Lepisosteus oculatus: one gene and its partners. The protein of the gene in region 4 interacts with the protein of the main gene of each other region in a biochemical or structural test. Links are inferred from orthologs where the notes say so. Each region holds a gene or a part of one and is shown on either strand. Other genes may lie near its edges.

Evidence for each region.
Region 1: the proteins of sqstm1 (region 4) and dnajc10 interact in a test that uses a peptide from one of them, tested with the Homo sapiens proteins (2 studies listed by BioGRID). The link is inferred for Lepisosteus oculatus from reciprocal best matches to the Homo sapiens genes SQSTM1 and DNAJC10.
Region 2: the proteins of sqstm1 (region 4) and prkci form a complex in vitro, tested with the Homo sapiens proteins (4 studies listed by BioGRID, with this or other methods). The link is inferred for Lepisosteus oculatus from reciprocal best matches to the Homo sapiens genes SQSTM1 and PRKCI.
Region 3: the proteins of sqstm1 (region 4) and rnf168 form a complex in vitro, tested with the Homo sapiens proteins (2 studies listed by BioGRID). The link is inferred for Lepisosteus oculatus from reciprocal best matches to the Homo sapiens genes SQSTM1 and RNF168.

Annotation. Positions count from the first base shown.
Region 1 is NC_090707.1:18,365,635-18,373,535, forward strand, and holds the start of dnajc10 (dnaJ homolog subfamily C member 10), read left to right. Parts: upstream 1-4,897; 5' UTR 4,898-5,446; intron 5,447-6,581; 5' UTR 6,582-6,703; coding exon 6,704-6,922; intron 6,923-7,032; coding exon 7,033-7,198; intron 7,199-7,640; coding exon 7,641-7,691; intron 7,692-7,805; coding exon 7,806-7,888; intron 7,889-7,901. Other genes in the region: nucleoporin NUP35, read right to left, coding at 2,584-2,719, 3,161-3,221, 3,308-3,435, 3,915-4,085, 4,618-4,630. UniProt on the Homo sapiens protein: Endoplasmic reticulum disulfide reductase involved both in the correct folding of proteins and degradation of misfolded proteins.
Region 2 is NC_090708.1:13,870,941-13,878,037, forward strand, and holds the start of prkci (protein kinase C iota type), read right to left. Parts: upstream 3,015-7,097; 5' UTR 2,677-3,014; coding exon 2,594-2,676; intron 1-2,593.
Region 3 is NC_090708.1:21,393,891-21,400,870, forward strand, and holds the start of rnf168 (E3 ubiquitin-protein ligase rnf168), read right to left. Parts: upstream 3,014-6,980; 5' UTR 2,652-3,013; intron 2,174-2,651; exon of another isoform or gene 1,917-2,173; 5' UTR 1,883-1,916; coding exon 1,573-1,882; intron 893-1,572; coding exon 822-892; intron 335-821; coding exon 164-334; intron 1-163. UniProt on the Homo sapiens protein: E3 ubiquitin-protein ligase required for accumulation of repair proteins to sites of DNA damage. Acts with UBE2N/UBC13 to amplify the RNF8-dependent histone ubiquitination.
Region 4 is NC_090706.1:33,993,603-34,000,809, reverse strand, and holds the start of sqstm1 (sequestosome-1), read right to left. Parts: upstream 3,023-7,207; 5' UTR 2,747-3,022; coding exon 2,578-2,746; intron 1,396-2,577; coding exon 1,300-1,395; intron 923-1,299; coding exon 642-922; intron 103-641; coding exon 1-102. UniProt on the Homo sapiens protein: Molecular adapter required for selective macroautophagy (aggrephagy) by acting as a bridge between polyubiquitinated proteins and autophagosomes.

The DNA of each region.
Region 1 (7,901 bases), on a different chromosome or scaffold from region 4:
TAGGCAAAGGGTGTTGGTTTGTGACTTTTTGCAGTTCTACCTTATCTTGCAATAGGTGGGTCTACATATATTGAAAATGTATATATCGCATTGTATGATTTATCCACTTGAGGTGGTGCAGGAAGCAGAGCTAACCTATGACTTGCCAGAATAAGAAAAGGGGTTCCTTGACCCACATAGCTATCAGAAGGAAGCTTTCATGGGTGTCAAAAACGTGGCTAGAGAAAGTCAGAGGTCAGGTTAGAGAAACTGATAAAATACCAGATATACAATGCCTTGCAAAAGTATTCACCCCCCTTGGACTTTTTCACATTTTATTGTGTTACAGCATGGAAACCTGATGTGTTTAACTGAGATTTTTTACCACTGATCAACACAGTACTCTATAATGTCAAAGAGAAAAAAAATCCAGACATTTTACTAAACTAAAAATAAAAAACAGAAAATAACTGAAAGCATAAGTATTCTCCCCCTTGCTTTGAAGCAGCTAAATTACCCATTAAGTAACCAACTCTCTTCTCCAAGTCACATAATTACTTGACTGGAGTCCACCTGTGTGCATTTGAGGTGTTTCACATGATTGCAGAATAAATACACCTGTGTCTGGCAGCTTCCTTTGAAATGCACTATGGGGGGGAAACACTACATCATGAAGACCAAGGAATGTTCCAAGCAGATCTGAGACGAGGTTCTTGAAAATGACCATTTAGGATATAAGGATATAAGAAAATTTTCAAGGCACTGAATATACCTTGAAGCACAGGGAAGTCCATCATTACAAAGGTGAGAAAATATGGAACAACTGTGAATCTGCCCAGAACTGTCCGCCCTCCAAAACTGAGTGTCCGGGCAAGAAGAGCCATAGTAAGGGAGGCCACCAAGAAGCCTACGGCAACTCTAAAGGAGTTACAGTCCTCCATGACAGAAATGGGAGAAACTATGTATTAGACAACAATAGCACGCACGCTTCATATATCTCGGTTGTACGGAAGGGTTGCAAGAAGAAAGCCTTTGTTGGGAAAAAAAACTCATATTACATCTCGGCTGGAGTTTGCCCAATGGCATGTGAGAGACTCAACAATTTGGAGGAAGATTCTATGGTCTGATGAAACCAAAATTTAACTTTGTCTGGTGCGAACCTAACACAGCATATCACACTGAGAATACCACCATTTGGGGATGCTTCTCTGCGGCAGGGACCGGAAAACTCATAAAGATAGAAGGAAAAATGGATGGAGCTAAGTACAGAACCATCCTGGAAGAAAAGATGCTGTAATCTGCAAGAGCACTGGGACTTGGAAGACGATTCATCTTCCAAAAGGACAATGATCCAAAACATACAGCAAAAGCCACACTGGAGTGCCTTAAAACTAAAAAGGTTAATGTCCTGGAGTGGCAAAGTCAACGCCCAGAACTCAATCCAATTGAGAATCTATGGAATGACTTAAAAATTGGTAATCAAAAATGGTCACCTTCCAACTTGATGGAGCTTCAGCAGTTTTGCCAAGGAGAATGGGTAAGAATTCCAGTGTCAAGATGTGCAATGCTGATAGAGACTTACCGAAAGAAACTCACAGCTGTAATTGCTGCCAAAGGTGGTCCTACCAAGTATTAACTCTGGGATTGGGGAGGAATACTTATGCATTAAATTATTTTCTGTTTTTTATTTTTCATTAATGTAGTAAAATGTCTAGATTTTTTTTTCACCTTGACATTACGAAAAAGAAATTCCTAATCCAAGAAATTGTATAAGGCTAATAAAGAGATCTTATCTTATAGAGTACCTTGTGTTGATGACTGGCGAAAATTTTGTTAAGTACATCATGGTTAAAATAAAATGTGAAAAGGTAACCCCAAGGGGGGGTTAAACAACTTTCGCAAGGCACTGTAGGCCTCATACCTTTACGTACCTTAAGAAAGACAGGTTTAACAGGAATTTAGAAAGGTATATAAACCGCAGAAAATGTCTATTACGTCACTATTGTACTGCGGTTGATCCAAAATGTTGTAGCATTTTCAGGTTTGGAGTTAGTTTGCTGTGTAGTAATCACTACTAGTGATGCTTTGGGAGGCACGAGTCAGTTAAGGTGTTCTGCATCAGCTGCAATAATAAAACTGAAAGTAAGATTACTAGGTAAAATTTCTGAACTTCAAACTATTCACGTTTTTTAGTGGACCTGGTGATTACATACCTTTATATTATTGGTTAGAACTCAACTGTTGTACCCTTGAGCAAGTTACTTTATTCAAATTTCTCCAGTTAATGCCCTGCTCTATAAATAAGCTACTATATTACAAAATTGTGAAATAAAATTTATTCACTTGACTTATCTGGGAAAACAATAAAAAAGAAACCTACAGTATGTGTCCCCTCTTTAAGTAAAATACTAAACTAAAGGGATTTAATCTCGCACCTCTGTGAAATGAAGCATTTTAAATGTTCTTCTCAGAAACATGTTTACAAAAGGTGAAATGATACCACAGTAAACCTAGCTTTAGCCTGTCAGATATCTATCTGGAGTTAGAACTTTTGCAGTGTACAGTATGTGCAATGCAAACTTAAAAAATAGTATTTATATTTACCCAAAAACTGTGACCCAAGTTTCATCTAAATGGTCATCTGAAGAAAGTGCATCCCCCTGGGTATAGAAAGGATCAACTTGGGCTGGAGAGATGGCTGCCCTTCTCTGTTGGCCGAGAGGACTAAATACACTTGATGCTGTTAAAATTCAAACAAGTAGCTGTTTTAGTTCTGTTAGAACCGTGCGTTGCACTTTTCCTTTTCAGATATTACAAGACATATTAGTTGCCGATGGCAAGATAAAAATAGCTATACGTTTTTTGCCTTTACCACCAAATGAAATCTCAAAATGTCTCAAGAGGATGAAATTAAAATTCAACCCACGGTTTAAGCGGACTAGCGATTAGGTCAATTTATTTTGTACCCCCATCATATCATATTTGCAACATAATTTTAATAAACCAAAAGAGCTAGAGGCACAGATTTTTTGTTTAGATTAAAAAAAAAACACTCAGCCCATTAAGCCTTAAAATCAAAAGCACTGTTCCCCAATTTAAAGCACTGCATATGAGATGTTCATGTTATTAACTGATGTTAAAAAAAGATGTCTTGCAAAAGTACTTCAACCATATAATTCACCTGTTCCTGGGGAGGCAGCAGCCAAGGCAGATAATGGGGTCTGTAGCACTGAAAAAGAGGGCTGTGGACAGGAATGGCGATATTTTATTACAGGAAGATGATCAGATAATGTGATAAGAAAATAAATCAACAGTTCTAACTGCTTACTTGCTTCTGCAAACTCAGTGATGATGCCCCAATCCCTGGACATGTTAACTCATCATATATACTTCTAACTGGGGGTGCCCCACTCTTGTCCTTGGGTGTGGGGACAACTGGCTGAGGAGGTGAACCACCTGAGGGGAAAAAAAATTGAGAGAGGCATCTTGCACATGTGCAACACTGAGTTTTACTCTGTGACTATATTTAAATCTCTATTCCTCATCGTGCCGTAACCTTATCTTGTGGTCATTTCTTCTAGTATACCACAGTGTCTTCACATCTTGACTAGCACAGCCAAATACTTACACGGTAGTGAGAAAGGTTGCTCTTACTCCTTCAGAAATGGACATTTCCCCAAAATAAATGGTCTCCATAAATCCATTCTAAATTTTACAGCCCTTTCTCGGCACTTTAAATGTGATTTTACATGCACGTACCTCGATATGTTTTTTGGAACGGAGAACCCCCCCTAAACAATTGGTCAGTGGATTATTTGTTGCGTCCGTCACAGCCAGCAGACCTTCTGCACGAAGCAGACTGGTATAAATTCACACCTGTTACGCCATGTCCCGTAAAATCGTGGATTATGAAGATGAATACATAAACAGCTCACCCGTCATAAGAGGAGACCTCATTTCCATCCCACTGCCGACAGAGCTGCTGAAGGTGCGAGGCTGGGGAGTCACCGGCGCTGGCAGGTCGCCCATCAGAAACCCGGGCAGGAACTGTGCGCCCGAACTGGGCTTTGGGGAGGTTGGCGACCCCAGGGTCATTGGTTCTGTACCTGACAAAGTTAAGATAAATCCGTATATTTGCTTTTATCCGACTCACCTAGAGCTGCCCAAAACACCGTTTCATGGAGACTCTTCCTTGGAATAAAACAAGCCAATACCTCTAAACTTTTTTTGGAGTAGCTTTGAAGGCAATTTATTAACACAGTATAATAGTTCATATATATATATATTGATGACAATAAACAAACATACAAATCTCGAATTAGTATTAGCAAAAATTCATATTGATTATAAAATGTATTAATACCCCTCACGCTATATCCCCTATGTTCAAAAAAAGCGATAAGTCTAGTGTTACTGCAGTTATAACTGTCAACTGGGACACGCCATAAATAGAACAATGTCTCAAAAACTATAAAAATAAAATCAGAATTAGATATTTTATCAATATTGCAGTCTTAACATGACTATTAATTAATTTAGGCCTGAATGAGATTAAGGGAATAACATGGAGCGGTAGATTTTAAAATATATGCATTCCTAACCTCCAAAAGTACAACACTAGAAAAAGACTGTACCCACCTTGAAATTCCATTACAGGCTACCCACAAAACAGTATATAAGGACAGCTGAAAAAGTAAAGCAAGCTGATTTTTCCAATCAAAATGTGCCTAATTTTAGGTTGAAATAGATTCAAATTTTCAAATAATGGCGGAAATCGTGCGCTTTCCAGCAATACCGAGGCATTCTGGGGGTGACGTCATATAAAAGCTGCGGGCAGACTCCTGTTTCATGTGAAGTCGGAAAGGAGTGGGATTTAAAGGGCACGTGTAAAAATTACAACATTATAGTGATTTCACATTTTTATGTATTTTTCGTTTGCATTAAACACATAAAAGATTCCGCTTAGATGCATTACCCTACTATGTATTTAACTTGAACTAACTGAACAAGTATGTATTTAACTTTAACTAATTATTCTAAGCAGAAAATTAAGTCATATTTACGAAAAGAAAATTCCTTATTCCAGAATCGCTGTATAATACATAACCTAAAACTAGCAGAACCACGATTAAAAAGACGCGTTCCTTTCTCTGGTTTTTGAGGTAGTTTCCCATTGGTTAGTGTAACAGGGTCTGTGGTTAACGTGGCACTCACACAACGTTTTAACGTCATCACGGTGGTACACTAAAGTTTCTCTTAGTGTCTGCAAATATACCGGTACCGAAATAACAGGATCTTTACCCGGATAGGCGAGGAGAAGTAATGTTTGCCTTATTATAATTGCCATGTGCTTTCCTTTGTAAGCTGCAGTCTGTATAAGCTTAGATGTTTATGTTATCAGAAAAAAACATTCATTGAAATTTTGGAAACGCTTTAGACTGACATTGGTGCGACGAAACAGGAGTCGGTAAGTTGTCTGTCTACCCATCCTTATATCTAAAGTGATGCACTTTTGTTAGCATATTATCACATAAGGTTAAAAGTGATGCAGATTTAAGAATAGGTATAAGTACTGTATAACCCCAGATTCAGAGCAAGTTTTAATTAAAACGAATAATAAATTTTGTACATGATCTAGCTAATCCTAATAATAACAGCATCAAGATTTTAATAGTTGCATATTTTAATGCTATCTGTTACTAGAAGATAAACACGTTTAATTGAACTGCTTTCATTCCTTGTTCATGTGAATTATAAACAACTGCAACTAGAAATTCCAGTTTGTGAACACAAAACAATTGATTTCTTTCATGTATGTAATTACCTGCTATACACATATTACTGTACATTTAAACCTGAGTTCAGGAGCAATCCTGGTATGATTTTTAGCTAGAATGTATGCCTCCCCATGGGTAAACCATTACAGTTTCCTGGATCTTACAAAGATAACCATCATACCTCATTATCTTCACCCAAGGTTACTTTTCGTTCATAAACCTTGTTACTGTAATAGATGGATTGAAAAAAAATGAACATTCCTGCTTTCATCACACACTGTAGATTATTTTCTGTATAGAAACATTGTGGTGCAGTTACGATGTGTCTTTTTCTAAGTGGAAAAGTGAAGTTTGTTTATTTGTACTTCAGTTTACTTTAGTACTTTGCAGTCTACAAAGACCATTAGTTCCTCATTGACCTCCTCTTCTGCAATAATTTATTCTTCATCAAATCTAAATTGAGGGCATTCATTTTTGGGTACAAATTGTGATTTAATTATTTCATTTAGAATTAACTCACTATGTGTTGTAAAAGGTATGAAATGCTGCCTATTTGGAAAATGTCCGGCACCTCCTGGCTATAAATCATACAATTCTCCCTAAAAATTGAGTTTTTTGTTTAGATTGTTTTCACACCATGGACTGCATCCAAAAACATTAACTTTTAAAATGCTATGCAGTACTGCCAAAATTGATCTAAAGTATAGATAAATGTCCTTTGACAGGATTTAATATCAAAAGGTGTGATGTAGCTCTGGATTTATAGAATCACTATAATGTACAATCATTGTTTGCATAATGTTTTCTCATTTTTTTCCAACATAGATATCTTTAAAACTGTTTGAAGCAAGCAGTTACTGGCACATAGCTGAGGATGAAGATATCGAATTCAGCTTGAGAGCAACTGTGTCTTGAAGGTTGATTGAGTCAGCGGGGAGCAGAACACAATGGAATCAGCACTACTTGCAGAACAAACCTGTTGTGTTTACAGAAGACAGTCAAGCAGAACATTTTTGTACTTTTTTGTTATAATATGTTTGGCTGCTGTTATTTCCTGCAATGATGATTATTATGAGCTACTTGGAGTGTCCAGAGAAGCAAGTAATAGAGAAATTCGACAGGCCTTTAAGAAGCTTGCACTAACAATGCATCCTGATAAAAACCCTGTAAGTAAATATCTCAAAGCATATACAAATTGTACATTGCATGAAATCATAGATATGAAATGTTATTTGTAACAAGGTGTCAAAACTTTGACTGTCCATGTTTTATTTAGAATGATCAGGATGCTCATGACAAGTTCCTGAAGATAAACAGAGCCTATGAAGTTTTGAAAGATGAAGATTTGCGGAAGAAATATGATAAATATGGAGAGAAAGGACTACAAGATAATCAGGAGGGTGGAAGATATGAAAGCTGGAACTATTACCGATATGACTTTGGTATGTCGGCCTAACAACGTCTCACTTTATGTGTGCTGTGTGTTGCTCGCCATCTACTGTATGCTGCGTACAGAAAAGTAAGGCTAATCCAGGATAAAATTGCCCAAGGTATTTATTTCCATAGAACTGAAATATTTTCCCCAGAGGAAAGTGATTTACCTTATTTAATTCAGGATTGAGTGCTTTCTGTGCACTGGGTTTAAATTTTGGTAGATCAGATCTCCTACTCATACGTAAATTTTAAGTGTAGAATCTTAAACAATTGGAAGGCTGAGCTAAAAGTATGTATCCATCTTACATGTGTTTGATAATTTCAAGGTAGAGATTTCTGAAAAGCCTAATTGAAAGTGGAGAATTAAAATATTAATTAATAATGATGTGTCATTTTAGTTTAGAGCTGACTATTGGAATGTTTTTTGATATATTGTTTTCACTTTTACAGGTATATATGATGATGATCTTGAGATCATCACATTGGACAGAGGGGACTTTGGTAAGCATTTTTTATCAGATACTATCAAATAATATAATAGTAAATCTGGCTGTCTGCCTAACATTTGCTGTTAACAGGATGATTTACAGGGGTATTTATTTTGTTATTCATTAGATGCGGCTGTGAACTCTGGAGAGCTGTGGTTTGTGAATTTCTACTTTCCACGCTGCTCACATTGTCATGACTTGGCACCAACGGTGAGAAAACTAT
Region 2 (7,097 bases), on a different chromosome or scaffold from region 4:
AGAGTATAGTTGAGAGTTATTCTATAACCCAACTAAATACGTTTTTTAAAAGAAATCAACTTCATTTAAGCTGCAGCAGTCATGGGGTCAAAACAGTGCCACCGCTGAGGTCTGAAAGATCGGAATGTCAGAGGCAATAAAATCCTTTTCGTAAACGCGGTTTACATGTTTGTGAATAACCGTAAATCATGGCTATGCATTAATGTTGTGCGATATTATCCAATAATAATCAAATAAAAATAATAACATTTTTTATTTGGTATAGCTCCTATAAATGCATCTTCTCAAAGTGCTTAACAGTAAGAAAAAAAGGGGAGAAGATAACAGAATTAAGACAAGTAAAAATTAGCTTTGGGCCATTGCAAGAGAAAGCCCTGTTACCCCCTGTACGCAGACCAGTATGAGGACAGACAGCAGAGTGGGGTCAGACAAACGAGAACTGCGAGGTGGGGAGTAGGACGATAATAAGTCAGTATATGACTACGCAACACCTACAGTACAATACGATGTTTTATTAAAAAGAATACTTGAATCAAGTGTCAGTCAGCTACTGCGAGTCTACTCCTTTCAGAAATGCACAATTGGAAGCTTCACTTCAGTGCGGTTTGTTCTGTGCTGTTTATCTTGGCAGGCATGTGCTTTTTCTCCACTCCCTATCTGGACAATATCAAGGTCAGCGACTGAGATAAAACCCAAAGGCCCGAGGCAGACGTTCATGACCTCAGGTGAATACAGAGCTGTCCTACAGTGTGCTTTCACCAAGCATCAGTTTATTTCAAAATGTTCTGTTTATGCACAAGAACAAGACATTTTTTGGCAATTTTTATGAATTCAGAAATTCATGCAGACATGTATACAAAGGGGCTTCTTTTTTTACTGTTAGCATTTCATAAGCAGATATGGTCCTGTAAATATTTCAGAAATACTCTGCATTCTTTATTTGAAAAGAAACACTTCTGAAATGTCAGAAATGTACAACAGCACACATGCAGTGACAGTGATTGGGATTGCGAAAGGTCAGAAGAAACTCATCTGACAGGTTTTTCATGATTCAGCACACCATTGTTAGCGCCTTCCAAAATGTAAGGTAAAGTACAACTTCCACATAAAGCTTTCCATCTTACAACTCAACTGACTTACGCAAACCTCAAATTAGCAAACCGTTTAGAAGCACAGATAGATCTTAACAGGTTACAGTATCTCATTAGATGAGTCAAAGACAGAAATCTAAACAAAAAATCAAAAATGGCAAAGAGCAATTATTCAGACTGTGTTTTCTGTGAGAGTAACAGAATACCTGTGGCTCAGGAGGATGACACCTGAAACGGAACAAACCTCTTCATACGGTATGACATCAACAAAATTCTTCACATTCTATAACTACATGCTCGAAAACTCTATTTTTCGGTCCTAATCGCTTGAAAATAATCAGACGTCATTGCACTTCAATGATGGAAGTGTATTCTCTGCTATATATAAAGTGCTCTGGGCACCTCTGGGGTGAAAAGCAATATATACAAATGCAATTAATCCTTTCTCTTACTGCCTTCATTAGAATAACCTCAGTTTACAAACAGGAATTGCTACAGGACTCCACTGTGCCAGGGCTGCCACCTCTCCGCACAAATCTCACTAAACAAAAAGCAAAAACAGACAACTCCATCCACACGTCTTTACTACGGCGCTAGACATCCCCGGCTCTCACTTGAGACACAGTTCACCGAGCTAGTGTGCAAAGATCTCCCTTGATACTTAAGATGTTTTTTTTTTTAAGCTGCAAGAGAAACAAGGTGTGCCAAGGCGTAAAAGGTTACTGCTACTACCGCAGCCGCACAACCTGTCCGTGCGGGTCTCGGGCTCCGCGCAGCTTCACTCTACGGCAGCTCCGTCAGTGGTCATCAACATGCGACACCAACACCTACATTACGCATTATTGAGTAGGTGGCATTCTGTTAGCCTTAAAACACGAGTCCCGTCCAAAGCCAGTGGCTAAGATGAAAAATCGTGTCCTGAAAATGCCCTGATTTCAATTGTTTTCCTTACACGAAACGGCTTCAAATTCTGAATGAAAAGAACAGCGCATCGGTACCATTGTGACCATTCCTCGATGTGTACTCATCGGTTAATCACACAGCATAGTTAAGAACATCGTAGGTGTAAAAACGAGGCTTGTTGCGACTTGACTTTAATATTATTAATGGCGAATGAAGGATACCATACCCAACGAATTTAAACAATAAAGCTCTGAAAAGAGTTCACGATCGTAGCCCTGGGATCGCATTCCTTAAACCAGAACTCTACCAAGTTTGGTCTGTGGGAGAAAACTAAAAAAAGGTTTCTGATCTGCCATATCTTTAAAACATGAATGCCCTCCCTATCAAGTTAGGTCTCCGGTGACGTCCGTCACCTCCAAACATAGGTTACAAACAAGAATGGTAGTTATCCGATCCAAGAAGATTTCACCTGCTAGGTCGCACACCGTGTGGCTAAAACCATTCCTCAAGTAAAACACTCCTCGTTTCTTTTCAGTACAAATTTCAAAACAGCCACCCTAATCCGGACCGATCCAGCCAATATACTGATTTCCACTCACCCCTTATAATAGGCTTTCACCCGCACTTGGTTAGGATTCTCTCCTGGGTGGGACATAGTACTGTCCCGCAACGTAGGCATCATAAGCTCCGGTACCTGGACCCCCGCTTTCACTGAACAAACCACGTCTCGAAATCGATTTCAATGCCTCTCCTCGGTCTTCGCGTGCAAAGTTGTAGTAAAATGACATCAAACTTAAAACATTTCCCCGTTAACGAGTATCAACTTTCGTGGTCTTCCTCTAAAAACACTCCCTACTGCAGAGGCCTCGCAACCGACCGTGCCAACCTCGGCATGTAGGGGGGGGGGGAGGGGGGACACCCTTCACGCGAATGAAGGGATAAAATGAACACAAAAATGATCAACTACAAACGAAAATATTTCATAGTTCAGGCATCTCCTATTTCAGGAGTACACAGAATGCAAATATATAGTTACGCTTTTTACGGTTCACCCCTACTAAGAAAAATGGACGTGCTAGCCGGCATTCCGATTATACCATGCCAAACGTAGGTGGAGCTTAGTTGATCAAACAATAACAAAAGAAATAAAAACTGAACACTCCGCGGCTATATAAAAATCGGTTTATTTTATACTGCATTAGAATGGTTTAACTAACTTATTTTTTCGTGCTGCAACAAATTACACAACAGACAGTTTTATTGCTTGATCATTTTCAAGGATGAAAGACCCAGAACCAAAACATTTCCTTGCCATGTCGCAGAGACAAATACCAGCCGTCGCTCATGGGAAATGTAGTTTTTTACATAAGGAAGCTCATTTGTTATTTCAGGGATCACATTTTTATGGATCATATGAGGTCGAACATTTTCACCGCAACCGCTTTCTGTCGGGGTCCTCATTAATATATATGGCTATTTGTTGCTCGTGTATTATGGATGGCACCGCCATTCTCTTGTCAATAACATCCCGATCTGTTTGCAGAAACGTTCGGTAAATGTCATAACTACAAACCAGAGAAAATAACCACTGTGATTTTTAAATACTCCCCATTTTCGTTTAAGCTTCAGTTTCAGCAGCATTTTTATTTCGTATATCTGATTTTCAGAAATATATCCCATCCGGTACAACTTGTTTAACCACAATCCACGGTTTATTATCCATTGCGGGACAAAAAAAGATTATTTAATTAGCATTAAATGACAATAACGTGTTCAACTAAATGGTTTTCGCATGTGGTGGCTACAGCACCAGAGCTGCCGTTTCACAAAATTCTTAAAAACACGAGTAACTTCAAACATACAGTAGGTACAGTAATATGTTAAAAGTAGTGATAATATTTTTTATTAACCGATAAAGTTCAGCAAACTGGAATTACGGAAGAAAAAAATGGAAAACATGTACACCGTGAACCAATTTTAAAGATGATGAATGTTTATATGTGTTAAAATATGTAATGTATGTGATAATACAAACATCAATATACGGTGTATTCAAGATAATCCCCAGGTTAGCAATGGTTATATATTAATAAAACATGTTTCTTCTTGATTTTCATTCATCACTACATTTACTCGTGGTAACTAATACGTTTTCTCCTATGCCTCAATATAACAGTGAAAAACCGATCGTTTCTGGGTGATCCCCCTAATTTGCAATGATACCGAATCAAAGATTATGCCAAAACAGTGCACGATGTATTTTCTAATTTCTAGTCTCAGGTCTCAGATGGTGAAGCTTTTTGCATGTTTTCATCTGCTCCTCCTGTTTTCTTCTTACTTCTTCCAATGTTAAAGTTCCCCCTGCAAAATATTTACACAATATGGAAATAATTATATTTCTTCATTAGAACAATTAGAATCAAAGCAAAACAAAGCACGACTACTGTGCCATAAAACTTTCTTTAGGACCACTGAGGACCCTTAAACATGGAAGAAGGAAACCCTATTTTCATCCAAGCTAAATACAGTAAAAATAACAAATATGATGTTACTAGAGGATCTTATTTTCTTTTACAAGAAACTCTTTAGTTTAAGACAAGACCTCGGTCGGGTTCTGAGAATAATGTGCTCTACTACGCCCTGTAGTGGTCAATTGCAACACTGCAGATTATATAGCTATTGTTATTACTAATATGAGATGTACTGAATATGTTAACACTGTCTCACCCAAATTGCCTTATATAGCACGTGTGACTGATTTACACAGAGAAGGGGCCTACTTAATCCTCCTCTGAAGCTGAATTAAAAGGGGCATCTTCAGGAAACTCAGATTGCACAATCCAGTCACTGGGATTAACACTCTACCCCTTTGAAAAGAGAAATGGAATCTTAAATGACCAACAAATCTGGACCCTGATTTAGCTTCTCATACAAAGGACATCACCTCCAACAGAAAAGCTCCTCTGGTCACTCCAGGTTTGGAAATTGGTCCAGAAGGGAGATTATTATTATTATTATTATTATTATTATTATTATTATTATTAATAATAATAATAATAATATTAAATACAATGAAGACATACATTTCAGCTGCTTGTGACCGGATTCAGAGAGTACTCACCTACAGCACTTGGGACAAAGGACACATGGCGCACTTTCTTATTAAGTTTGAAATTTTCCAGCGCTGCCAGTTCAACTTCAGCTCCTTTGTCAGCCATCATAAAGAAATGGTGAGAAAAATGTCTAAGTCATTTAGTCTGTTCAGGATCCCCAGTATCAGATGTTTAGACATTTTTTTTAAAAAAAAAGAATAAGAATAAGATATTAACAAATATTTTTTTCTTTTTATGTTGAATGTGTGGATGTTTGTCTCCTATTTATCAAATAACTGACAGTGTTCTTGTTTTTTTCTGCATGTTGCTCCAAGAAAAAGAAATAAAATGTACTTTTCTGTAGTTCATCCCTCTTCTTTGGATTGGGAGGGATCATTGTAAATGCCCCGTAACTGCAACAAACCAAACAAAAATCATCTCTTAGAATTAGATCTTTGGTGGTAAGCAGAATCTAGAGGGGAATATTTTCTGTCACACCTACTAGCATTGAAACACATAGGGATCAATTGGATAATTATGCTCAGAACTATATCAATGATACTATTTTTAAACGACACATTAAACTGATCGGTACACACAGTTCAGATCTCTGTTAGGAATACCTGTTTGTTTTTATTACGGAGAAGGACCTCTTTTACAAACTAACGACGCGACTTGGGGGTTAAAAGAAGAGTAGGATAAACAATTATTTACCTTTGTGTGGCACTTGGAGACTTGTCGTGTTTTTTCTGAGCACGCTGATCGTTCCCACTGCACGTTATAGCTTTAGGCTTTGATGTTACTGCGTTCGGTTTTGTTTTTCTCCCATTTGGGGTCTCATAACTAGCACCTCCGCTGGGGTCACGGGCGTTGCTATGGTTACCTCCGGTACAGCCAGTGGCTCTGTTTCTTTTGGAAGCGCAACAAACCGTCGGTAATTTCGGTTTGGCTTCCGCAGTCCTCAGTTTTACAACCCCGGAGTATGACATGCTGCACCACAAACAAAAAAGGAAAAAAATATCTAAATGCAACGTACCGAAACGTTTTAAATTACTTAGGGAAACTACTACGAGCAGTCACAAGGCTGGAGCTAATGACTTGCCACCACTACCTAACATTCAGATTTTTCTACTTATCACGGCATGAGATTTTTAGTCTTGTAGACGAAAAACAGCTATCCCGTAGAACTAAAGGAGAGTCACAGTTTTAGGCAAATATAGACATAAATACCCAATCCGATTCTAATAGATCTTGACAGGATTGATCCGATTAGAGCTCGGGTTACATCTGCAAAGAACTCTGGGAGCTGTAGTCAGTGCCGTGTAATTCTCTTGACCAGCTCTGATGTTGTTTACTGTCTCAGCTGCAGCACCTTATTCTAAGAGTTAAATTGCCTAATCTTAATGGTATCCAACAGATACCAATGATCATTTTGAAACATTCGTAGGGTTTTAGAAACGATTGTGGAAGTAAAATGATTGCCATTTATGAAGACGAAATGTTCTTATTTCAGAAGTTGTCACATAACCCTAGGACGAAAACTAAAAGGGAAGCAAAAGGGGGAAAACTATGTGGTTACATTTGTACAAAGGTGAAATGTGCTGGTGAAATAGTTTAAAGTGTACGTAAAAAAGGCCTGTTGTATGTCATGTGCTCGTTTGTGCATGGACACATTGCTGTACAAAACATTTATACATTTGAGGGGTAATCGGTAAGGTACATCATAAAAGGTGTGTCCTGGGGTTGAGTAAAAGACTTTTGATATCCGAAAATAGCGATATAAATAGTCCTTTCATTTTCATATTTATTTGCTGGAGAAATATGATGGAGATTTGTTGCAGAAATCGCCGGCGAGAGAAATCAGAAAATAGGTATATCCATTTATACGATAGCAAACAATCATCCTCTTCTTGACGATACTGGAGATAACACTTTGCAATGAAACATGTTTGTCGACTTGCATTACTCTAGAAATGCATTTAAATCTATAGATTTTGTTATATCAATTCCA
Region 3 (6,980 bases), on a different chromosome or scaffold from region 4:
GCTAAAGATTTTCCATACGTGAAAAAAACTACAAATACCTGGCCCCGGATTATTTTATAAGCGATTTCCGTGCTCGTGAAGAATAAATTAGTGATTGATCGATATTCTACATGTGATAACCGGAAACTTTCACTGTGTCCCCACCCTGCTCCCTGGGACTCACCAGCTCCTGGCTCAGCAGGCGCGCCAGCATCTCGTCGTGCTCCAGCTGCTGCTCTTCCTCCCTCCTCCTCTCCTCTGCCTGCCGCTCCTCCTCCTCGGCCAGCAGCCTGCGGATGTACTCCTCGCTTGCCTGCCTCTCGGCCTCTTCCAGGGCCCTCTTCTCCTCCGCCAGCTGCGCGGGCAGGCGAGGAGGCAAGGGAGCAGGAGAGGACACGGCCATGGGCAGAAGTACAGACAGATCCACTCAGTGACACAATCAAGTCTATTATCAGAGAGGGAAACTGGTACAAAGCATGCATAAAAGCTGACCAAATCCCTTTTTATTTTGGATGTAAAAATGCTGAACATGGGGTCATTTCCGGCACTAGTCTGCCACACGGTTTCTGCATAAAAATACGTTTCAGGAGGTTCCTCAAAGGATTTAAAGAATGCACTGTTGGAAATGCGCCACTTGTTAATTTGTAATTCACAATACAATCAAGTCCCATTTCAGCAAAAACGTCACACCTCCGATGTTTCGCCGTCTGCTATGACCAACTCAACAGTTTTGTGTCAACTGCATTTCTTTTCAGATCTAACCGGCAGATCTAGTGTGCAAGCTTAGATCTTTATATTATTTTCTAGGGTTCTGTTTAGAACAGTAAATGATGAGCATTTACCTTACTTAACTGGGCCTCATATTCCTCCCGCAGTTCACCAGGTTTGCTGATTGTTCGTAGGGGAACCAGAGCTGTCAAAGGCATAAAAAACAGTACCTTACCAATACCAGACCAAAATGAAAGATTTCAATATTATATGATGATCTGCTATGAAGTGTAGTACCAAAAGGACACAGGGTATTTTCATTGCATTCGGAACCCTGTTTATACACAGTGGTGGTACCCAGCACTGATCCTGTACCACAGATCTGGTTTTCGTTACAGCTGAGGTCTGGATCGTGAACTTCAATCTTCTTTTCAGGGTACAAATTTAAGGTCTTAAACAATTCAACGGTATTTTTATTTGGCATCAACCCTGTATCACTGAAGACAGCGATAAACCGTCCTTCGGATGTGTAACCCCGGCGTCCTGGCCAAATTTCCCATTGGCCCTTACCAATCATGGCCTCCTAATAATCCCCCTCTATGAATTGACTTCATTACTCTGCTCTCCTCCCCACTGATTGCTGGTGTGTGGGCAGCGTTCTGGCGCACTATGGCTGCCTTTGCATCATCCAGGTGGATGCTGCACATTGGTGGTGGTGGAGGGGAGTCCCCATTACCTGTAAAGCGCTTTGAGTGGAGTGTCCAGAAAAGCGCTATATAAGTGAAAGCAATTATTATTATTATTATTATTAAACCCTCTTCTTTCCTCCAGAACACCCCAGGTCCCCAGGTGACTGGGCAAGAGCGGCAAAGGGGCGAGACTCACTGCAGCTGTCGTCGGCGTCCTGCCCGCTGAGCTTGCGCTGGCACTGCAGGGGGAAGGCGGCCTGCACTTTCCTCCACAGCTCCGCGTTCACCAGCGTCTTGTTGCGGCTGTGCAGACGGCACCACGTGGACACCCTCTTGCGGCACAGCGGGCAGCACATGCTGGCCTTGTAAACCGTCTGCTGGAAACACGTCTTGCAGAAGGTGTGGCCGCAGGGTAGGGTGACCGGCTCCAGGAAGATCTCCAGGCAAACGGAGCAGATACAGTCCGCGTGGGACAGCTGCTCCTCTTCCTTCGGCACCTCGGGCATCTCTACCTGTCCCACCCCCCTCTCCCGAATCCCACTGGAGGAAGGGGAAAAGAGTGAGGTCCAGAGACTGCTGCAAGAGGAATCTCTTAGTGTCACTTAAAGCTATCCCTGTCTTTAAAGCATGTAACAGAAATCCTTATTTTCTTCTACAGATTGTGATATCTCCTCTGCTGTATCATTTTTTATTTTTTATTGGGATTTTAGCTCCCAATCCCAAGTCCCTGACCAAATGACGGATACAACTCCGTAAAACCAGGAATCTATTTAAAAACCGTGTCACCTGTTTGGTCTCTGAAAAACACAGTAAGGAAAAAGGTTAAAAGGAAAAAGTTTCTGAAAACTTTCTACAGCAGAGCACAAGTACGGAGACCATATACAAAAAGACACTATATACGGTTATACGGTCTCATAAACTCTAATAAAGCTGACTGTAGATCTGAAGAAAAAAGGTAAAAATAAGGTAAACATTTCCCGCGAAACTACGTTTAGCCCAATATAACCTAGAAAGCAATAAGCTGCAGATCTTGCATTAACAAATCTAAAAAATTACAAAATACTACCGAAACAATTTAAACCCAAATTATTTATTCCGTTGTCCGCTGATACGTCCGATGGTTTTATAAGTGAAATTAATATCCCTACGCGTAAATATTTTATTAATATATGCCCTTTCATACACAGACCTTTATTTTCTGTCTATAGGTGGACTAACAAGAAAGTGATTCAGGGACACAAACACCGGAAAACTACATTTTTATATATTAATAACCTTTAGGAGACAATGCCGAGAAACCAAGAGATCCGGAAGAACATTGGGGCCTGTCTTCTGATACAGAAAAGTCATCATGAGACCCCGAGAAGTGCGGTAAAATGATCAAAGATTTCGAAATGTTTACCTTGTGGCGCTTCAGATGGGAACCTACACTGCCCGCGCCTGCGGCAACGACCGCGGAGGTCAGAAATGTTTAAAACGCACACATAAAGTACATTAACACAACAAAAATAATTCTGTTAGATTATAACATTCTAAAGAAAACAAACCCGTTTCCTAATTCACAACGTAAAAAATAAATGCTTTTTTCACCCTATGTAAATCAACCAACCCGGGAATCTGAGCTGGAGGAGTGATACTGCGCCTGCGCACATTGTAGCGCTCCTGGAGAAACGCGCATGCTCATTTCACGCAGACGCGCTGCAAACATTTTTTTTTTCAGTTGTAGCGTTCAGTTCCAAACTGAAATCACTTTCAAATCAAGGAATTGCAATAGTATCTCATCAGAAACTATGAAAGATTGTACAGCTTATATTATTATTATTATTATTATTGTTATTATTATCCCACAAGGAAGTTATGGATGTAATAACAAATTTGTAAGATTTCTATTGCAAGCTGACAATATCCTGTCAGTTAAAGTATTTTGGAATACCTTTATCTGGAAACTGATTGATTGTTTGGGAAAACAACATGATGTCAAGTTCATATCGTATCGTAGCGCATTGGTGGTTCAGTGGTAGAATTCTCGCCTGCCACGCGGGAGGCCCGGGTTCGATTCCCGGCCAATGCATCGTAATTCATTTTGGAGCGGAGCAGTGGTTCTGTGGCTACGGATCGGCACCTGTGGCTGGACGGTTGTCGGTTCAAATCCCGCGGCTGGCAGAGGAATCCAACTCCATTGGGCCCCCGAGAGCAAGCTGGCGTATGTGAAAAGGTGATTTCCTAATGCAAGAAATTGTATAGGGCTAATAAAGTGATGTTATGTTGTGCAGAGATTAAAAATTACTATAGATGATAACTGTGTCTTTTGTGAAAGTAGCTCTGGAACCATACAACATATATTTTGGTTAGGTCCTATTGCAAAAGCTTTCTGGACTGATTTGCACAAAAACAGGCTAATGTTGATATAACTTTTAAAGAAACAGAAGTAATGTTAAACTTTAATCCCATTGAAAATAATATGGAAATATATTTCATAATTGAGTTAAATATTATACTTGCACGTTACTATATACATAAAGTGAAATGGTCTGGGAAGAGTCCTGTGCTTGATGTAGTCAAAATAGATGTAAAGGCGTATTTGCAGACTATTTCACAATGTAAAAACAAGAATATTTATCTTTATTTACTCTGTTTAAACTTTTTTCATGAAGTGTATTTGTATTGTAATATGTACCCCTGACGATGTAATTGATATGTTAAATGTTCTCTTGTTTATATTGTATCTTTTTTGTTGTTCAAATAAAATGTTTTTTAAAAAATCACCTTCAAATTCAGTCTTTATTGGAATGATCTATGAATTACAGTGCTGCCAATGCAGATGCAATACACATAACATTTATGGACAATTGCTTCACAGACTTATTATTGGACATTTACATAAACATATAAACATAAAACCTTATTGTGAGACAGGCTCACTCAGTGTTCCTCTGGCTGACAGGAGATCACATACTGTATTAGGCTGCACCTCAGCTAAGTTCCTCCCTCCTTAGCCTGTAGGTAATAATAATAATAATAATAATAATAATAATAATAATAATAATAATAATAATATTAATTGCTTACACTTATATAGCGCTTTTCTGGACACTCCACTCAAAGCGCTTTACAGGTAATGGGGACTCCCCTCCACCACCACCAATGTGCAGCATCTACCTGGATGATGTGACGGCAGCCATAGTGCGCCAGAACGCTCACCACACATCAGATATCAGTGGGCAGGAGAGCAGAGTAATGTAGCCAAATCATAGATGGGGATTATTAGGAGGCCATGATTGGTAAGGGCCAATGGGAAATTTGGCCAGGACACCGGGGTTACACCCCTACTCTTTACGAGCCATTCTAATTCTAGCAGGTGTGGAAATTGTGGGATTAGATTTGTTATTTTAGAGAGAATGTTTATCTAATCCCAAAGTATTTCTCACAATGCAATAAGAATCACATTTTTATTCTCTCTTGGCAGTATGGTCTCTCTGTGTCACCCAGTTTGTGGTCTTTGTGGTCACCGAGTCTGTCCTGTCTGGACAGCCAGGTCTGCTTGTGTCCAGTGTCTAGGTCCAGGCTGTGGTGACTGAGCCTGAGCTCTTTGGACAGCTGGCTATGCTGTCTGGCACAGCATCACAACCTGGGCATCACCTATGCATAAACAACCTGCTTACATGATTCACAATCTGTAACAGATTTATTAAGGGACTAAAATAAGTCTTAAAAACAAAGAGTACTGTGAAGTGCTAAACTATTTTTGTGGCAAAGGTGTACTTTCTTGTGACGCATCTCCACATGGAATGGGGACTGTACTGTCACATAACTTGCTGGATGAAGCAGACTGGATGTATGCCCCATATTTTGACATTCTCTGAAAATAATTATTCTCACGAGACAAAAAGGGTTTAGCCGTGGTGTTCGGCATACATGGTTTTAATAAATATTTGTATGGATGGAAGTTTGCTATCTAAACAGATCACAAACCTCTCCTATCACATTTTAACAAGGTGAAAGGTGTGCCACAAGTAATGTCACCCAGTCCAAAGATGGACAGAGACACTACAAGTCTATGAATATTCCACAGTGTACAAGGCAGGGGGGAGGAGGGGAATGCTGATGCTTTTAGTCTTCTTCCACTTCCAGAGACGTCACAGAGCCCAGTGTTGCTCTTTGAGAGTGCAGACACTGGCCTGGTGGAAGACAGCCAAGTCAGATCAAGGACAGGTACAGACCCTATCCTATTTAGAGACTGTGTATTTAAAGTTTGAAAACAACAACCCCAAAAATGTGGCTTTGTACTGTACAGATTTAGACAAATTCAGTTGGGTGTGAGGACGGATGCTTTCTGTGAGGGGCGCAAATAATTATCCCACCACGAGGGTGGAAGGCAGTTCTAAACTAATTTCATCAGTTCAGGTGGGTACTGTAGCTGCGTCAGCATGCGTAGTCTGCAAAGGAACAAGTAATAGGTTTATTCCATGCTGGAAAGAGAAGAGAGAAAACACAACATTTCGGCTGTGAAGCCTTCTTCAAAGACAAAAGCCTTCAAAGAAGGCTTCACAGCTGAAATGTGTTTTCTCTCACGAGCCCATAGCAGCATAAACCACCATGCAGGTGCAACACTGGAAGAAAACAGGGAGGTGATAGAAGCTGGACAGCAAGTGGAGAAAACCTGCCCAGAGAAACCCCACAATTCAGGAGTGGACAACAAGCTGCATCGCTCATGGAGAATTAACAAACTTCAAAGTTAGTTTTGAAGATTGTGAACTGTAAAAACATATAATCATTGTTTTCTGGGAAGTTTAAAAGTTCAGTTGAGCTGTAGTTGTGTAAAGGAGTATAACCAAATGTTTACAAGTAATAGGTTTATTCCATGCTGAAAAAAAGAAGAAAGAGAACACAACGTTTCGGCCGTGGAGCCTTCTTCAGGTGTGAAGAAGGCTCACACCTGAAGAAGGCTCCACGGCCGAAACGTTGTGTTCTCTTTCTTCTTTTTTTCAGCATGGAATAAACCTATTACTTGTTCCTTTGCAGCCTACGCATGCTGACGCAGCTACCCACCTGAACTAACCAAATGTTTGCCAACTTAAAAAAAAAACAGACTTAAAGGGGAAGGTAAGAAGAAGATTGGATTTACTGTTGGTGCCACTAGAGGGCAGTAGAGTACGGTTAATAGCTGGGTCTAGAGAAGCGAGGAGGTTGTGCAGAGTAAGGAGTGCACAAACCGGTGTGAGTTAGTTCTCGAGAAAAGAGTTAATATCCCACAGTGTTATTACCTGCATTTAATTTACTTACTGTAGTCATGTACTCAGCTAGTGTGTCTTGTCTGTTTAGGGTAGTGCAGCATTCCAGTATGTGTTGTGTTTGTGTGTGTCCCAGTGGGTAGGGTAGTGTTATTTGTCTTGTTCTGTGTTTGACTTTCATTAATTTTTTTTAGTTGTGTCCTGTGCCCTGAAGTTGGTTGGTGCCAGTGGGCTTCAGAGACTGGTGTTGTTGTTATGTATGTTGGGTTATACAGTTTGGGCTAATGACTATATCATGAGTACAGATGACAATTAAAAGATGTATGGTTTATAGTTAAAATGACCATTAATGGTTTATTGGTTCTCTGGCGTT
Region 4 (7,207 bases):
GGGCCCAGCCTGGCTGGCTTGGGGCCTGTTCTGGGCTCCAGCCCACATGCAGTGGGGGAAGCCATGTCTCATCTTGCGCATCCACTTCCCGCGCGGGTACCACTAGGGGGAAAAAAAAAAGATTAAACTACCGAACCAGGCCTAAGAGTGTACATTTTCTTTTTTTACACAAATTATATTGAGGTTTTACGAAACCCTCCAAACAGTTCACAAATACAAAACAGCAATATGAGGTTATGAAGAAAAAGCAGTTCAGACAATTTTGCAGTTTAGCCATACAGGCAGATCCAGTTAGAACCAGAGTAGAAAAGTGACATTTCAGGAAGGTTCGGCATAGTTTAGAACTGTAAAAAACAACTTCTGTCACACCAAGGGGGAAACATGCACATATAATGCATATAAAGCAGTTATATCATAGCACAAAACTTAATTAAACCTTGAATTTTGCTAAAACAAGTAATGGAACTATTTGAAACCCAGAAGAGGATATGCAGCTGTGCTAGTCATCTGGACTGAATAGTCATTGTCTAAAAACAGGGATAATGTTTTTGTAAAGGAACAGCCGTCATAATGTTGATCTAGAACAAACAAGGTTTCCAAGAAGTGTTCGGTTCCGATCATGGCTCAGCCAGGCGTCTTACTTCAAACATGTTTTGCAGGGGAGCCCAGATGGGAAGCATGGGGTGCTCCTTGTGCTGCCCCTTGGCCTGGCAGGATGAGCACAGGTCGTAGTCGGGGCAGACGGTGCACTTGAAGCGCGTCCCAGCCACTGGGCCCTCGCAGCCGTCGCAGGTCACGTTGGGGTGCACGGCGTTATGGGAGGGGGGAGGGGGAGGGGATTGGAAGGAGAAGGGGAAAGGGAAGGGGCGATCAGGACCCTGGAATCCATGGGGGTGAAAGTCCCGCTTGCACTCCTTCTTCTCTGTGGGGTGAAGGGGGGAAAAAAACCCACGGTCATGAGCACAGGAGATTTCTGATTATCTGTCCCTAAAAATGGATACTGCAGCATGTTTCACAGAAAAAGTGTGGCACAGGATACATGTCTATTTAACAGTTAAAAGCTAGGAGTGGAGCCACCACCTTTAAATTAATTCAATAAACATTGCCTACTTCCCCAATCGTTAAATTTCACATTACCTCCAAGTGGTAAAAGTATTCGTGTTCATGGATTTTGCTCAATATTAAAAAAAAAAAAACTGGCTTAGTTTTGTGACAGAGCAAACTTTGAAGTCATTGTTTAAACACATTTAGTCGGTCCCCTAAGAACTGTAAATGATTCACCCAGGGTAAACAACTTGCCTTTAATGAAGACTCGAAAAGTATCGTCCTTTATACAAGCAAGTCCCATCATCAGTTCATCATCAGAGGAGAAAGCAATCAAGTCGCCATCCTCATCTGTTGGGGAAAAAAAGTGTCAGTTAGCAGGGTTTAATTTACAGACAATTAGTCATTTACTCAGGGAACAAAAAGGAGATGCTATGGAAAGTTTTACCTTAACTGCAATCAAGCTCAACTGAAGTATTCCAGTCTCTACTAATGAGGTGTTTTCGACGTCTCGGTAACATTCCCACGAGCCTTACTGCTGTACTTAGGAGTTTCAGTAACGCATTTGGATTAAATAATGCATTGTTTTCATTGGGCAACAGGGCGTTAAGAACATGATCACCAAACTGACACATCAGACATTGGTCTTGACGAACCATGGGAGTGTTATTTAATACGGCTCGTATCAACTGCTGCTAAGGGGTATTCCTTAACATATCAAACAGAAAACCTTTGTTTTGTAAAACTTTAACGGGAGGGAAGCGATAGAATTTAGATGAAGTCATTTTGTGAACGTTCTCAATTCCATTCTTCCAGATATTAGGAAAAAAAACAACAATAAACCGACAATACACGGAAGTCTACCAAAGGAAAACGTTGATAAGCAGTGGGAATTGGATAGGACTGACAGTCCCATCTTACTGCGTGTACAGTAGACTGCAGAATACAATGAACCTATATCTCGGCGTCATGAAGTCACAGAACGATATTCAATGTTTAGTAGCCAAGGATTAACATCCGTTTTAAGTGTTAATTTTGTTTCTCTGTAGCTCATTAAGCGATAGCCCTTGCCATCACAGATATCTGTACCACATTATTCAGGTTACAGTAATTAATAACCCTTCTCTCTTCACCTGACGTATTAAAAATAACGACGTTAAAGCCGCTTCCAATGTCACGCGCAACGCGATTTTGTTACACAATCCAACAATAAGTCCATAAAACACTGATAAAGGTCAACGCAACAAACTGAAACATCCGACAATCTTGTAATAAATATCCTTGCCATTTTCTGCGAGTTCTAAAAGTGAGTGCGTCACAATGACTGCACAGCACAACCCACAATGTACAATTTGCATAACTCACTTTGCCATCAGGCTACATTATAAACAAAAGGCCCTCGTGATGTAACAAAGTAGCTTGCTTCTCCCAGCTGACCTATACAAATTCACAGCTGCACTTAGTAGCAAGTTTAATCGTGACATCTCATCAAACAGGTTGAAGTTCTCGTTTTTTTCCCCCAAAGTTTCTTACCTTTATAGTACATCTGGAAAGTGGCATTCCTGAGGCTTTGGAAAACCTCGGCCACTTTTCGAGTTAAGTACTCAAAGCTGCTGGACACTTCTTGATCGACGGCGAACCTGCGGATCTCCTTGTGGATATCCTCCTTCCCAAGGAGATAGGCTTTCACTGTCATCGACATGGTTACCTCTTCTTTTCGATCTTCACCTGACCAGCTCCGACGAGAACCCGTGAACCTTATTGCGCACTTGAATAAACCAGCTACTGTACTTCTGCAGCTTTCTAGTCTGCTGTGTTGTAGTTCCGCCTCCTTGCTAGTATTTATGCTGTACCCCAGCCAATCAGCATTTCTTCAGGGGTTGTGCATCCTAAAAAATTAAAAGGGTGTTGCTATGAGAATAGGGGGAAATCCAGCTGTCTGGTAAAAAAACGCACTTTTTTTCTTCGCGTTTACTAACAAGCCAGTCTTTAGCAAAGTAAACAGAATGGAGCCCTATTCAAAGTGGGTTGTTGAAGGTCGAAGAATGACAAAGCACTTTTTTACAGTGACATCCCAGCGCGGGAAAACAGAATGGAAATATCAGCTTCTGTAAAACAGAAAATATTCAGTATAAAAAAAAGGAACTGTAATACGAGAAAGAAATGATCCTACTACTGAGGTACATGCAATACATGAAAATACATGTTAGAATACGAGTTAAAAGCAAGACATGAGTGAATTATCAATTACATTAGTTATGTATCATCTAGTGGTTCTAAAAACTAAACTCAAGATTTTCGCGGGAACACAGAAAAGACTGGAAATATTAATTTCAGGGAGCAAAATTCAGAGCCAGTAATGTTTTTAATTTATAAATGGAAATACTTTTTTAGAATTGTATCAATTTCAGTATTAGAAACAACACTGGTTTGTACAGAAGTCAGTATAAAGCGGGCATCCCTGACGAAACCTATTTTCCTTCCACCTACATAAATGTTTTAGAAAGCCTGTTCAACTTCACTTGAAGGTACCTCGTTATCTTAAGAAATGTGACTTAAAGTAAATCATAACCAGTCATTTTCACTATGAGAGAGACTAGGGGGACCGTCTTCACATTATCTAATAACCTCTGTTTATCAGGCAAGATGGCAATCTGCAAGTCAGCATGAAGTAAGAGATCCACCTCAATGTCTTTCCTGCGCGTTGGCGAGGTACAGAACCTGCCACCCTCTCATGTTGAAGATGAGTCACTGGAAATTGGCACAAACTTGTGTTTTGGAACATTTTTGTTCAACACATATTGAACAGCCTTTTTAACAGCCGTGGCTGTGTGTATGTACTCTTCTATGAGTATCGGCTGTTTGCCTAGACTATGCAGGAGCCTTATCAAGGCCTGGCAGAATCGACAACTTTGTCTCACCGCGGGTTTCAAACTCAAGTACTGGAGGGCGAGAGAGAAGAAGCCGCACAGAAACCTGCCATCAGGTCCTGAGTTTGTAACCAGGTGGTGGACAACCCTGGCCCTAGTAATTAACCCCGTAGGTTTTTGAAGACGTGCAACACGTTTACGGTCAGATCAGTTTAACACGTTGCGTCAGTCAGGTTCTGTATTAGCTCATTCACCGCATGGAACTGTTCTGTGCAGCTTTTCAAGCAACAGTTACGGCGAATGAGCAGCAAATTAATTGGTGATGCCGAGTCAGAAATGACTGACTGTGGTCCTTGAGAGCTACAAAATGTTGGTGTTTTCTATTTCAAAAAATGAAATTACATTGTGGTGGCATGGTGGTTAGGACCACTTTTCTTACTGCTTTGGGTCTTAGGTTGGATTCCAGACAGGGGCATCTCCTCTATGGAGTATATATGCTCCTTTTCTGTTGTTGTTCTTCAGGTTCTCCATTTCTACCTTCTAAGGGCCTGTTGGCTAGGATAACTGGTTCGTGCAGTACAGTCTCACCTTGCACCTGGGATAGGCAACACAAAGATTCTGCCCCTTATAGAAAAAGGCATCTGCCTGATAATGGGTGATAACGGCTGAACACCTCACCTGCTACAGTAGTGAAAATTAACTTAATCCAACTTACTGGTTCAGAATTTGAGGATTTAAGATTGACCCATAAAACCTGATGAATTGTGCTTCGGGAAGCCAGTTCTGGTTTATAATTTCCAACCTGCAGTTGGGTTTAGTTTTCTTTTTTATTTGCTTATGGATCTTCCTTAAATTGAGAATAATAAAGTCCTGTGTAGAGAAACAAACAAGAGGTTGCATCAGGTAGCATAAAAGCATGTGATGCTGATAAGCTTATAAATCGGTTAACAAAGCTATACTATAAAATGCTGCATCACCATGAGAGCCTAGGCCTTGATTTGCCCCTTTACCTGAAAATGACGAAAGAGAGTGAAAGTTGCTATGAATTATTGTATGTCGCAATACCCCCCTTCGCCCCCCCCTCTCTTCCCCCTCCTGAAGGAGTAACGTCACCTGACTATGACTCATCCGAATCATATGATTCTATTGCTATTCTCTTGTATCGCGTTTCCACCAGGACCTCCTATGAATCACTAAAGAAAAGATCACGAAAGTTCCAGAAGTTCATGCCAAACGACTTGTCATTGTCTCCTCTTTACTCCTATAAAGCAACGCAGTGTAAATTCAAGGCAGAGGTACTGTTGTCAAATGAAACAATGTCTAGACGCTAATATACAGCATTACAACATAAAAGTATTAGAATATGATGGCATTTAAATACAGCTTATTTGTTGTCATCCTTTCGGATTTAAATAAAAGAATCAAGGTTCCTTACATGAGTGTATGTCATTGACGTAGTAAAATCCATTATTGATAATCACAGTAATTTAGCTGTCGTATTTACCCAAAGCAATTTACAAAAAAGAATTCCAATTTGTACAAAGAAGATTCAAAATTTCATCTATACCTTCAGAAGTACAATATAGTGATGTAATAAAGGTAAAATTACAATAGAGGACTACAAAATACAGGTACAATATAAGACACAGACTGAGTGACACAGGAGCACATTGTTTTCAGCCCTGGAACAGAGAGAACTATCCCTGTGTCTGCTTCTTTCTGAGCTCTTTCTTAATCAAGTTTATTGAACTGTTTTAGCAGTTTCTGCTCTTTAATAGGATGGGGTTAGAAGTTAGCTTGAATCCTGTGCCAGATACTGAATTTTCCTGCGCTATATAAGTGTAAGCAATTATTATTATTATTATTATTATTATTATTATTATTATTATTATTATTATTATTCTACATACTGTATATCAGACAAGAAGCGCTAATAAACAGCAACAGTGCACATAGAGCTAGGAATTCAGGTTAAGCAAAAAGGCAGCCCTAGGAAAGAGGCTGTACAAATACTGGGCGGTTCTGGTTTTAATTGACTGCTAGCAACTTACTTTTAAAAGAGACCTTAAAACCTCAGTACTGCAGACTCATTTTTCTTTTTCCACCTTAGTTATTGGTATGTTTATTGACTTCTCTTTTTAGTTTTGTCTTTTATGTGAAGCATATTGAAGTTCGCTGTAATGTAGTGTGTTATGTAAATTAAATGCATTGTTAACAACAACAACAGCAACAACAATAATAATTCATGCTCTAATGACCAGCTAGTGCAGTTCCTGCATCACTTCACCAACTTCCACCAGTCCCTCAAATATACAGTTAACATATCTTCCATCACTCTTCCATTTCTAGACATAAACCTATCCATTACCCATCACCGACTCTCTGCTTTGGTCTATTGCAAACCCACAGATTCACACAGCTATCTCCTGTATGGCTCATTTCACGCTTTCTTTTCCTGGCTGTGACGTCACTCCGTGACGTACAAAACAGCAAAGTCACGACTAGATCTTTCAGCTGTGATCTTTTGATCAGTTGACCCCAGACTTTGCAGCCTTTACACGAATAAACTGTCTTACATTTAGGGAGGAGTTAGTTCATTGGGTTAGGTGTTTTCTTTTAATTTTTAACCATGTTCTCGAAAATGTATTGCTTGTGTACTCCATGCATTGGTGAAGAGACCCCAGTTTCCATATTACCGCTGGTACAACACGAGAGCCCATATTCACATTTTTAGGTATTAGTTTCAAGATCGATATAATTTAACAATAAAAAACAAAATTTGAAGCACGAGCATAATAATATAATGATCATAGGCTTTACATCTCTATTCATTTTTAAGTACAAAGCAGGAGGTGTTTCCCCTACCTTAAATACACGATCAAATTGTACAAATACGATGTATTCATTACAGAAAGCAGCGGAGACAGTTATATTGCAAATACAAATGTATTTATTTCGAAGAGCACGGGACATTGTGAATCAATAAAGGCGTTAAAAACCAAGCCGATGTAGTTACTTTGCAAATAAGTAAAGCATTTTAAAAATAGATTCTCATTGACAGTAAACAAGCCGATCCACCTGGCGCTGCTTCCTTGAACAGCTCTCAGACCCGTGATTGGCTAAACCCCCGAACAGCTCGGGCCGCGATTGGGTGAAGAGTGAGAATCGACACTCTGATTGGGTAAAGCGCCACCTGGAAGTACCGAGAACATGCAGATACACAGGTGATGGAGGTTCTTCTTGGTCCCAAATACTGTAGTCGTGCTTAACCGTGTGTGCTCTATGAGCACGCT